Ovis aries: one gene and its partners. The protein of the gene in region 3 purifies or fractionates together with the protein of the main gene of each other region. This does not show direct contact. Links are inferred from orthologs where the notes say so. Each region holds a gene or a part of one and is shown on either strand. Other genes may lie near its edges.

Region 1 (4,146 bases), on a different chromosome or scaffold from region 3:
AAAAAGTATTTTACAGGGACTTCCCTGGTGGTCCAGTGGTATAAGATTTCACCTTCTGATGTAGGGGGTGTGGGTTTGATGAAGACCCCCTGGAGGAGGGCATGGCAATCTCCTCCGCTGTTCTTGCCTGGAGAATCCCATGGACAGAGGAGCCTGGTGGGCTACAGTCCACAGGGTTGCAAAGAATTGGACACAACTGAAGCGACTTAGCATACATGCATGGGAAGCTAAGATCCCAGATGCCTTGCAGCCAAAAAACCAAAGCATAAAACAGAAGCAATATTATAAAAACTTCCATAAAGACTAAAAATGGTCTACATCAAAAACAATCTAAAAAGAAAAAGAAAAGTATGTTACACACTCAAAAGAAAAAATGTAGAAGAGCATTCAGCTTCAAACATTAAACAAGGTCTCGTTCTAGTGAAAAATGAGGAAGTTTGGGGGAAATATTACTTAACAGCACATCTTGAAATACAAGAGAGAAGGAAACAAAGGTTGAAAGGTTCTAAAAAATTTGATAGCTTAGCATCAATTGAACAAAAACCATATTCTCTACTAACTACAGATGATAAAAGATACAACGCAATTATCAACACTCACAATGGACTTAAGTTTGATGTCCCAAATGCTAAAAGGTAGGCCCTGTATGTCAAAAGGCACAGACAAGTCCGCATGAAGGCAAAACACCAATGAAATGATTTATTCTCTCATCTAAGGCCCATCAAATAGATACATCTGGAACATCTTTGGACACAGACTGATTTTTGTACCTCAACCAGCACTTTGGGATCTTGGACAAGAAGCCTGGAAATGTTTGATTTGTTCAGGATCAAGATTGCTGGAGATGACTAGGAGGAGTCAAAGAGAAGGGGGAGGGTTTGGGGAGGGGAGGCAGTGGATCCCAAGTCCGCTGTTCACTTCTTGCCTCTGATTCCCTAGGAGCCTCCTGCCTGTGCTCAGTGGGGATCACCCACTGACAATACTGATGACCTCTGTGTTTTGGTCTCAGAGCTTTTGGGCCTTTCATTCTCTGTCAGTATGTTTCTGCCCCACATGAAGATCAACACGGCTTCCCTGTCTCATTAACCCCTTTGGGGACTATTTAAGCTAAGTCAGGGTGGCCTTCCTGGGAAAACTACAAGGACAGAAACATTACCAGGCATTCGTGTCTGCATGCATTGGGAGCACAGGCCACATCCTGCAAGGACCTTCTTCCAATAGTCCTCCCCTCTCTGTCCATCCATCCACCCCAACCCTTTTGTGGCAGAGGCGGAGCAGAGAGGGGAGGGGGGAATTGAACCCTAGGGCAGTAGCCAAGCTGCTAAACTGCTGACCTGGTTTTCACTGAAGTGCGAGAAGGAGGCTGTGAGGCAGGTAGACAACATCCTGTTGTTGGGGCGCTCCTTTCTCTTTTTTGAACATCTGGCTGAACAGGGAGGCAGGTGGCTGAGTCGTGCCTGGTTGCGGCGGCAGCAGCAACAGCGGCCTTTCCCTGCTACTGTCCCCTGGCCATGGACGCGGTGGCTGTGTATCATGGCAAGATCAGCCGGGAGACGGGGGAGAAGCTCCTGCTCGCCACGGGCCTGGATGGCAGCTATCTGCTGAGGGACAGCGAGAGTGTTCCCGGCGTGTACTGTCTGTGTGTGCTGTGAGTACATGACGGGGCCCTGGAGCCCCCACTGCCCACCGTGCGGCTCACGTCCCTCACTGGGGTTGTCTCGCCTGGGCTTCCTGCTCTTCAGAGGGTCTTCTCCAGCGCCTTTGGGGGCGGCTGTAGGAATGCTCTTTGCAGTGGAGGAAAAGGAGCCTAGAATTTACCTTTGCTGCCAAAAGGACTCAGGCTCCTGGCTTCAGGTTGGACCTCTGGTAGAGGCCAGCAAGGTGGAGGCCTGGGATGAGGGAATGGCCAGATATAGGGCCACCAGCTCCTCAGAGGAGAGGCCTTTCTCTCCAGCCCTCTGGCAATGGCTTTGAAGGTATCTTCCCAAAGGAAGATTTCAAATTCAAGGAGAGGAAGAAGACTAAGAAATGGAATCCTTTAAGACAGCAATACCAGTTAGGTCAGGATGTGGGAGAGAGGGACGTTTCTGAATAAAACCACCTCTCTGGATTTGCTTAATTAGCTTTCTTTACAGGAGTTGGAGGGGGGTGGGGTGGGGTTTCAGAAATAGGGCCTTTCCGTGATAAACGCTGGGAGAGACAATAGTCGTAAAGGACATGGAGGGAAAGCACCCTGGTATGATTCAGCTTTGCCCTTTACCTAAGCATCTCTTGGTCTAAAGCCCCATTTTGAATCAGATGCACCTTCATCTTTGCTCCAGGGCTCCAGGGTCAGGCAGAGCTAAGACCTAATCTTGTGCTAGTCTGATGCTGGCTTTGGCAAGTTAACCTCACAGTCCCTCAGTTTTCTTGTCCAAAAAGTGTAATATTACTACCTACCTCATAGGACTGAGCATTAAATGCTGTAATGCACGTAGAAAATTTAGCACTGGACCTGATGCATACTAAGTGTTCAGTAAAAGTAAGCTGTTGTTGTTATTATTTTTTCACTCTCTTTCAGTACTTTTTATTATAATATATTATATATATATATAAAATGTATATATATTTCAGTCAATATCTTTAAGTACTCACGGGGTGTTTCTAAGGAAGTCCCTAGCTCAATCACTCTTTGTTAGCAGGGTAAAAACACTCATGAAAGCAGCAGCCCTGTACAGTAGCTTCTAGACAGAAACAAAATGAGGGAAAATGCTTGGTTGTAATTTTGGTGTCTGATGATACATGGCAAGATTTTGAAGTTCCTTTAGGTCATTGATGAGAGATTGTATTGAGCCTGGTGTTAGAGGATTTTCATTGTTTATTGTATTATTTTTAAATGGGCAAGGCATATTTGTGGCAACTCTCAGGCCATGCTAAAAACGTTTGTTATAAAAGCTACAAGGGATATATGTGCAAGCTAGTGAATCCCTTGGGCTCAGATTTTAGGTTTTCCTTATATTATTGTTTCTCGAAAGTGAAAACTGGGGTAGGTCAGTGAAAGCCAACTCGTATTCCTAGGCTCTTTTCTTATCAATAGAAGGTGGAGGAGTGAGTGAACTGGTGAGAGGAGCTTCTTTAGGAAAGCTCACCAAAGGAGGTAATGGGACCCTCAACCTAGAGGTAAAAATTAAGGTACAAAAGGCCTGGGAAGGGAAGGAAGAGCCGGGGACAGTGTGTGGCAGGATGTTCCTAAGACTTCAGACGCACTGGCCTCTTTGTTGTTTCTCGAGCTTGCCAAGCTGCTCCTTGCTTAGGATCTTCACACTTAACTGTTCCTTCTCCCTCTTCTCTCAGAGAGGACTTCCTTGACTAGCCTCTAAAATAAGTCCCTTCTCCCTGTCCCAGTTATAATCTGTCACTTTAGTTTTCTTCTGGGAGCTTTCAGCTGTCTGACGTTTGCTTGTCTACTTTTGTCTTGCTGGGCTCTCCTGCTACAATGTAATCTCTCTGGGGCAGAGACACCATCTCCCGCACCAGGAACACAGCCTGGCATGCAACAGGTATCATGAGGCATGCAACAGGCACTCAATAAATGTTTCTGAATTAATGAATGAACTGTCAAGGCAAATTCTTTATGGCAGTAGGCTTTTGGGCTGATATCAGGAGGCCAGGATGTGGCCTCTGGGACATCACTCAACTTTTGTAGGTCTTGGTTTCCATATTTCTAAAACAAGAATAATAATGTGTGCTCTATCTTCTGCAGAAGATTATAGTTGGTAAAAGATGCAAGAGAGAAGGATAATCTTAGCCTATTACTCAAATTGGCCAGGGCCACGTAAGGAATTAACTTAGACAGATGGGAAATTCGCAGATTAAGTTTTTGTCCAAAGTGAATCTTGCCTAAATGCAGTTTTTATGACTGTAGGTTCTCCATGCAAACCTTTTTATGAAGTAGCAGAAAATAGTCGGCAAATTGGGAGTCCCCCTAACATATCTTTCAGTGGGCACACTGGGCCTCCAAGTCCTAGAGGCTAATGGCCAGACTGCTGCAGAGGGAAGACACAATGATACAGTGCCTTTTATGACAGTTTCTCAGCTTTTTTTTGAGCCAAGGATCCCTTCTGATAAACGTAAACATTTCATTTCCTCTTTTTTAGTACTACACTG
Region 2 (4,031 bases), about 2.4 Mb from region 3:
TCTTTTTGTAAATAAAGATTTACTTGAACATAAAAAATACTACTGTGTAGGATGGCTTAGTTCCTCAAAAAGCCTTGGAGGAAATGATGAATACATTTTGGGAATCTGAAGTACAGCATGGTGATTACAAGGAGTAATACTACATGAAAGTTGCTACAACAGTAGATCTTATATGTTCTCACAACAATAAAGAAATAGTAAGTATGTGACAAGATGGCCATGTTAGCTAATGCTGTGGTAGTAATCATTTGCAAATAGGAAATTAAATGGTTATACCTCAAATTTTTAGAATGTTACATGTCAACTGTATGTCAACAGGGAAAACAGTCTTAGAAATTACATTTAGGATTAATTCTGATCCTCAGAAAACAGAAACAATCTTTTCCAAGAATATCAGTTGACCTAAGTAGAAAAGGGTCAGTAGAAAAGATTTTTCTTGTCAACACCAGGGTGGCTAAGTGTCCTGGGCTGGATAGACTTTTCTTTATAAGGAACATTACTGATGCCCCAAAGGATGGAAACCTCAAAGGACGTGAGGTTTTTCAAATCAAAGCCTAATATGTTTTTTTCTTCCAGTTGGAGAAACATTCCTACACTAATTGTGCATATCCAGATCTCCCTCCCATGTGCACCAGCTCCTTCCCCAAAAGGCTCAATGCTAGAAGGTGTTAAAAATGGCCTTTATTCGCCAGCGACTAGGCGCCCTAGCCAGGCGATACTCCCCCTGGACCATCCTCCCCCACAGTGCCCAGTGCTTCCTATTCCCATCACTGTCTTACACGTCTCATGTCATTTGATCCATGGATGTCCTACCTTTCGATTGTTCCACTGCCTCTGGATATACCTGGATTCATTCAGCATCTGTACACTTTTTTTGAGCACCTGTTCTGAGCTGAGCACAGCATACCCATGGGTGGCTTCAGCAGGAGATGGGATCCCCTTTCAGCCAAAAGCATCCTTGGAAGGGATGCCACGAGCCAGAGAAGCAGAAAACTGGTGACTTAGGGTGAAATACAAGGATGGCTGCAACCAATTCTGAGGAGCTTGTGTTCAGCATTGAGCTTGAACCACAGACATTGTTGATTCCACTGTGTATTTCAGACATAGTTTAACCCACTTCCGTGAGTCATACTTAGGCCACTTATAGGCTGAAGTGTCTTGGTCACTTTATCACCCCACCTCTCTCATTTCCTGAATCTTGTGAAACTATCTGAGTCCCACAGAATAAACTTGTCTCACTCCTATGAGCCAGAGCAAGAAGAGGTATTTCCACAGGCCCCATTTAGGCCAGCTGCCTCCAGTTCTCTCCTCAGATTCGTCCCTCATCTTGGGGTACCGGAGGGCTCCCCATGGATCTGCCTTATTACCATGGCCCTCTGTCCAAGCGAGACTGTGAGACCTTGCTGCTCAAGGAAGGAGTGGATGGCAACTATCTGTTAAGAGACAGCGAGTCGATGCCCGGGGTCCTGTGCCTCTGCGTCTCGTGAGTAGCCTCACCTTCCATGCATATGTTAAGTGTAGGACTGATAACCAGGTGGAAAAGAAACTGTTCCTCACTGACTTTGCAGCCCAGACGAGCACAATGAGAAATAGCTAGACACTGCCACGAGGAAATGGAAGGAACATGTCTGTCTAAACTCCTTTACCTTTCCTTCCCTCCACACGCAGACACTGTGGAGCAGCAGAAGCGGGGGTGGTGGGAGGATAAGGCTTCAAGCAATATAGGAAGGGAGCAGAGAGGAGAGAAGGCAGCCATGCGAGAAAGTTCCTCTCCTATGGAGGCTGATTTATTTAGTAAGGAAAACATGAAATTTTAACCTGAGAAGCCAAGGTTTTACATGGCTGGCTCGGCTTGTGATTTTTAAGATACTAATAACATTTCAAACTTCGTTACATTTGTAGAAGGCTTCGGCAGACATTATTTCCCTTCGTCCTGCTTGTAGTCTGTCAAGGCAAGCCACCATTTTGTCGATGTAGAAACAGACCCTGGGGTGTGTGCAACAACTTGCTTGTGTTACAACACATCTGGTGTTTCCAAAGAAGCTGAGTTCCATGTGAAACTTTAAGCCAGAGCATCAGAGCCATACTGCTGAAGGAAGTTGCTTATCCCAGTTTAAAAACCAATCTTAAACAGATATCAGGGGAAATCAACTATCTTTAAAGGATTCTCCTGTTTGTGGAGACCACTGAATTTTTCTTTACCTTTTACAAGAATTAAAACCCAAGTGTCTCCAAGGATAAGCTTCAGTGCTTCTTAGAACTGGGGAAGAAAGAGTGCTATTACTGACAGAATAGACAGGGATGTCCTTCTTTCTTTATGTGACACCAGGAATCCAGATATAAGAAAGGCAGTCTTCAGGTGTTAGCAGTTTGAATTCAAGTTACAAGTGATGTTGAGAGTGCTTTCATGTATTTTTTAGCCATCACTAATTCTTCTTTTGAGAACTGCATCATCATATCCTTTACCCATTTTTAGCTTGAGTTGTTGTCTTCTTTCTACTGATTTTTTCCAATTTCTGTGTATGCAGGTAAAACTTTTTTTTTTTTTTCAAAAAAAGACGCACAAACACAAGAAAGCTACAGACCAATTTAAATTTCATTTACTATTAATTTTCAATAAACTACTAACAAAAGAGAAGCCAGTAAAACATTAAAGCAGAAAATACACTATGCTAAAATATACTATGGTCCAATCTAAGAAATTAAGGATGGTTCTATGTCAGGAAAATTATTAGTTTAATTGTGTATTAATAGGTCAGATGTTGCAAACTGTATAACTCATTCAGATTTGCTTAAATGATATTAAATAAAATTCAGCATCTACCCCTCAATTAAACACATACTCACATGTGCACATGCATGCACTCACTTACACACTCCTAACCATATATAGCCAGACAGATGCTTCCTTACCACCAGATGAAGCCCTGGAAGAATTATCCCTAACATCACGAATGAGCCAAAGTAATTGTGAGTACTACTATGTAACATTTTCCAGGAGATATCAGCAAGTGTAATTAATCAAAAGAAATAAATGTAAAAATTGAAAAGGAAGATGTAAAATTATTATTTACAGTTAACATGACTTTATACCTTTGAAATCTAGATTTAACTGAAAAAAAAAACCTACTAAAATCTTTAAGAAATTCAGTAGAGATAACAGCTTTTATCATTGAAATCTAAAAATCAACAGCTTCCATACTGAAATAATAACTAGTAAGAAAATATAATACACCTCATTTACATCAGCAATAATTAATAATACTTAGGAATAAATATAATATGAAATGTGCAAACTTAAGTATCCACTGGGGAGCTTACTAGAAGACTTAAATGAAAGGAAGAATTCCATTTAGAAACTTACCAGTTCACCATAATTAATCTATAAATTCAGCATTTTTTCAGTAAAAAAAAATCAACAGAATCTTAAATTTTCTCTTCAAAGATAGTAAAGTTTATCCAGATGGGAAATAAAACACAGGGAACCTGCTAGAGAGCCAGAAAAGTTTTTTATTAAAAGAAGGGAGACTAGCTTTACTAAATACTAAAATACATTACTACAGTAATTACTGCAATAATTAAAAGAGTTTGGTACTGAGAGATCAATCAAATATTTGGAATATAGAGTCTGGTAGAAATAAAGTGAAATACATATGGAATTTACTTTATATTCAAAAGATCATCTCGAATTAGTGAGGAAAAGATGAATGATAATTAACTGTGTTGGAACCCTTGACTGGTCACTTAGAAAAAATAACCTGAATCCCTTTCTTACTTCTTAAAGTTAATTCAAAGTGGTTCTAATACAGAACTTCTTTTTTCTAAATGAAACCATGTATATTAAAAGAAAACATGAACTATTAAAAAATATTCCTGGAATTGAGAAAGTCTTTCTAACAAGACACAAAACCAGAAAACGAAAAAGAACAGATGGCTAAATATGACCATTATAACAAGAACAACAACAAAAAAACTGTTAACGACAAACCGACAGAAGAAAATCAAAACTTCATTAACATGGAAGAGCTCTT
Region 3 (3,513 bases):
TAAATAAGTTGCTAAGGGAGTTTCAAGGACACAAAACTGAGAGAGGTCCACTTGAACTTGACTTCTTGGTCTGGCTGCAGCAGCAGCTTATTTTCCATAGGCTGATTCACTCTGTCCCACAGCCTGCCCTCCCACCTTCCTTTTACCTGCCTGCCCCTCCCTCACCTCCACCCAGAACCAGGCTTCCTCATGGCATCACCTTCCTCTGTGCTTCTACCAGCCTGCTCTTCTGAAGTCTCCAAGGAGAGAAAGGGAAATTGAGGTCTGCCTGGTCAATCCAGCCCTGTACTTGGACCAATAGTTCAGCTGGGTTCATAGAGCCTATGAAAAGCTAAAATTCTGATTAAGCAAGACTCAGTCTGAACAACCAGACTGTTCTTCTTGGCTTCTGAGGTTCTTGTCCAATTGCTACCTATACCCACCCCAACTTGACCCGGATGCTCTCCACCTGGATGGAACCAAAGGTGAAGCTGGGAGAGGAAACCACTTAGTGAAAGTGAGAGCAGGGAGGGCTGATGGACAGAGGCAGAAGTAAGAGATTTGCCTGGGCTCCCTCACTGAGGGCAAGATGGGTGTTTTACAGGTGCTCCCCACCAAGGAGGAGCCAGTGAACACAATTTACTCCATGATGCAGTACTCTGATAAGGTAAAGTCTTTCTGATTTTTATCACTGTTGTCCTGTCTGTTCCAACTTTTCTTTGGCATCTTATCTAACCAAACAGGAGTAAACTGGTTCCCTTGGGACCCTGTGCTTCTCAAGATTAATTGCTGAGAGCCTTGATCTCCTTCCACACATGCACACAGCTCTGCTTCCCAGGTCCAAGGCCATTTACAAGCTGGCTTCCTTGATTGCTGTTCCCAGCTTTTCTATGAAGGAGCACCTAGGTCTCTGAACTGCAGTGGGGAAACTTCAGCCTCTAATAACATCCAGGGCCATTGCTAGCTCACAGTGTATAAATTGGAAGGCAGGTCTGCCATGCCCCAGGCAGACACAGGGCCACACCAGATGCACAGATAGGCAGGTAGAACACAGGTTGGATCCCAGTTCCCACTGGTTCCCTCAGCAGACCTTCACACTGTGCCACCTGTGCAAGCATTTGTAGTGCTCTAGTGATACTCATGTTCCCTGTGCCCCAGCATCCTTCTCTCAAATAAGCAAAGAGGGAAGGCAGGTCCTGGCCTTTGACAGGACTTTCAGCTTGGGGAACCTGCTTCGGTGTTGTTATTATCTGAAAGTCTTTGTTTCCACCACAATTAGGACAGCTTTGGGGTCTCTGGGTGAATCAAACATTTTGGAAGTGTTTCTGTCGAATAGCTGAGCTAATAGGCAGGAAGCTAACCATGAAAGATAAATTTGAACCCAGATTCCTGGGGAGAAAGGGATGATAATGATAACAAGCAACGAGTGGGATGAAATATTGGGATGTCAAAATGGAATGCAAATGAATTCATGAATAAGAATTAAAAGTTGATTCTATGAGTCATCTGTAAGCTAGACAAGTCGGAAGGTCATAAGGGAACTCAATGTACAGGTCAGTTTGAATGTCAAGATAAACCAAGTGCCCTGGAGAATAAGACAGAAGGACTTTGACTTCCTCAAGGACCAAAGATGGAAGGAGAAAGAAGAAAAGGAAGAAAATGAGTGAGGAAAGGGCAGGGAGAGGGGGGTGGGGTGGGAGGGGAAAGAGAAGCAAGTGAAAAGCAGGGCGCCAGCATGTCTGCACCAGGATTAGAAGGAGAGTAGGAGGAAACAGAAGAAAATACACTGGAAAGTAGTAGATTTGAGGGATTAATCAGGGACTCCTGGATTGAGACATCTCATAGTAAACTCTCTACCCAAGTTGGTTGGCAATTACTAGTTTGGTTAGTACGTAATTTAAAACCTAGGACTCCCTGAGCCAGTTGAAGAGTTGTCTGCAGTATTCTAAGTAAATACTTAGAATTAGTGAAAGTGACTCACCACTACATATAAGCCAAGGTGAAGTTATTGGGGTAAAGGAGAAATGAAGACTTAACTAGGAACAAGGAAGGCAGGTCACATGAGCCTGAATGTCGCTTCAAGCTTATAATCAAAATCAATGGAGATACCCACATCCCCACCTGCGGTTTTTTCTGAGTTAAGAGCGCTTCCAAATGGAGTGACTGGAACAGAGGTGAGGGACTCAGCAAAGGGCAAGATCCTGCTACCCACAGAGTACCCCAGAACCAGGGAAATCTAAGATGTCTTTCTAAAGGCTCCCTGTGGGACTGGAAATCCCAAGCAGTGCCTTTAAGTCAGCATTTCCCTCTTCTCCCTTTTGTACAGATGGAGAAAACCAGCATTCAGAACAGCAAACCGCTTGGGACTTCATGCTATGAAATTGTGATCTAGGTTTCCAGATGGAATTCTCCCCACAGAAACTGAGCTGCAACCACACATACTGGCAGATGATCCAGACCTAGACTTGCTCTGCCCAGATCTTACCCAGAGATTACAGATCACCAGATTCCAAATGTAAGCAAAGAAGGAGACACTCTGTTGCTGGGCATAACTTGTACTGAAATAGACAAATGCATCATGCCCTTTCTAAGATGCCTCACTTCCTAACAAATAGCAAGGCAGATCCCTTGGCACAGTGCTTCTCATCCTTCTTCACACTGCAACACATGGAGAAAATAATTTTTATGATAAAATGGAATAAACAATCAAGATTGCTCATGGCTGGAGGCTGTATATGACTGGAGGAGATGACTCTTCCCAGCAACCTCATATGTGGAGGATCAATATTTACACACCTGTAACCTGCCATGACACACCACTTAAGAGCCTCTGTTCACACTCAATATATGGGAGAAGCCCTGGTGCATGGCCTCACCCAGACCCCTACACCTTGGGCAGATAAGCCTCTCATTCAAGTGCATGACTTGATATATAGAGTGTGGACTGCATTTCAGGCTCTGTTTGTCCCTTTGCCTGCAAACATTTGTTCAGGGTATACCTGGCTGGACCAGCCCAACCCTATATCACTGTGTGGCATGGAAAGATGTCAGAGCCGTGGGTCTCAGCTGTGCAGACACACTCTTCCAATGGAGTGTTGGAACATGTTCTTTCTGTAAGGACTAGACTTCTGGGGCATTTTTCTTTAGACTCCACTTCAGGAACCACATATTTTTTTTATGGCTAAGTTTTCCTTCTGTATCCCTCTGTAATGGTTCATTTTGTGTGTCAACTTAACTGGGACATGGGTTGCCCAGATATTTGGTTAAGCATTATTCAGGACGTGAGTGTGAAGGATGAGATAAGCATTTGAATTGATACACCTTGTAAAGCAGATTAATCCTCCCCTCCACGTGGGGGGCATCATCAAATCAATTGAAAATCTGAATATAAAAAAAGGCAGAGTAAGGGAGAATCTATTCTCTCTCACTGCCTGACTGTCTTTGATCTGAGACATTAGCCTTCTGCCTTGCATTTGGACTGGAACTTCCACCATCAGCTTTCCTGGTTCTCAGGCCTTTCAACTCAGACCTCTT

Evidence for each region.
Region 1: the proteins of CD84 (region 3) and SH2D1A purify together in Homo sapiens (affinity purification with western blotting; 4 studies listed by BioGRID and IntAct, with this or other methods). This does not show direct contact. The link is inferred for Ovis aries from reciprocal best matches to the Homo sapiens genes CD84 and SH2D1A.
Region 2: the proteins of CD84 (region 3) and SH2D1B purify together in Homo sapiens (affinity purification with western blotting; 3 studies listed by BioGRID and IntAct, with this or other methods). This does not show direct contact. The link is inferred for Ovis aries from reciprocal best matches to the Homo sapiens genes CD84 and SH2D1B.

The regions. Positions count from the first base shown.
Region 1 is NC_056080.1:108,291,164-108,295,309, forward strand, and holds the start of SH2D1A (SH2 domain-containing protein 1A), read left to right. Parts: upstream 1-1,336; 5' UTR 1,337-1,511; coding exon 1,512-1,648; intron 1,649-4,146.
Region 2 is NC_056054.1:113,946,653-113,950,683, reverse strand, and holds the start of SH2D1B (SH2 domain-containing protein 1B), read left to right. Parts: upstream 1-1,221; 5' UTR 1,222-1,349; coding exon 1,350-1,483; intron 1,484-4,031. UniProt on the Homo sapiens protein: Cytoplasmic adapter regulating receptors of the signaling lymphocytic activation molecule (SLAM) family such as CD84, SLAMF1, LY9 and CD244. In SLAM signaling seems to cooperate with SH2D1A/SAP.
Region 3 is NC_056054.1:111,591,736-111,595,248, reverse strand, and holds part of CD84 (SLAM family member 5), read left to right. Parts: intron 1-583; coding exon 584-646; intron 647-2,305; coding exon 2,306-2,371; 3' UTR 2,372-3,513. UniProt on the Homo sapiens protein: Self-ligand receptor of the signaling lymphocytic activation molecule (SLAM) family.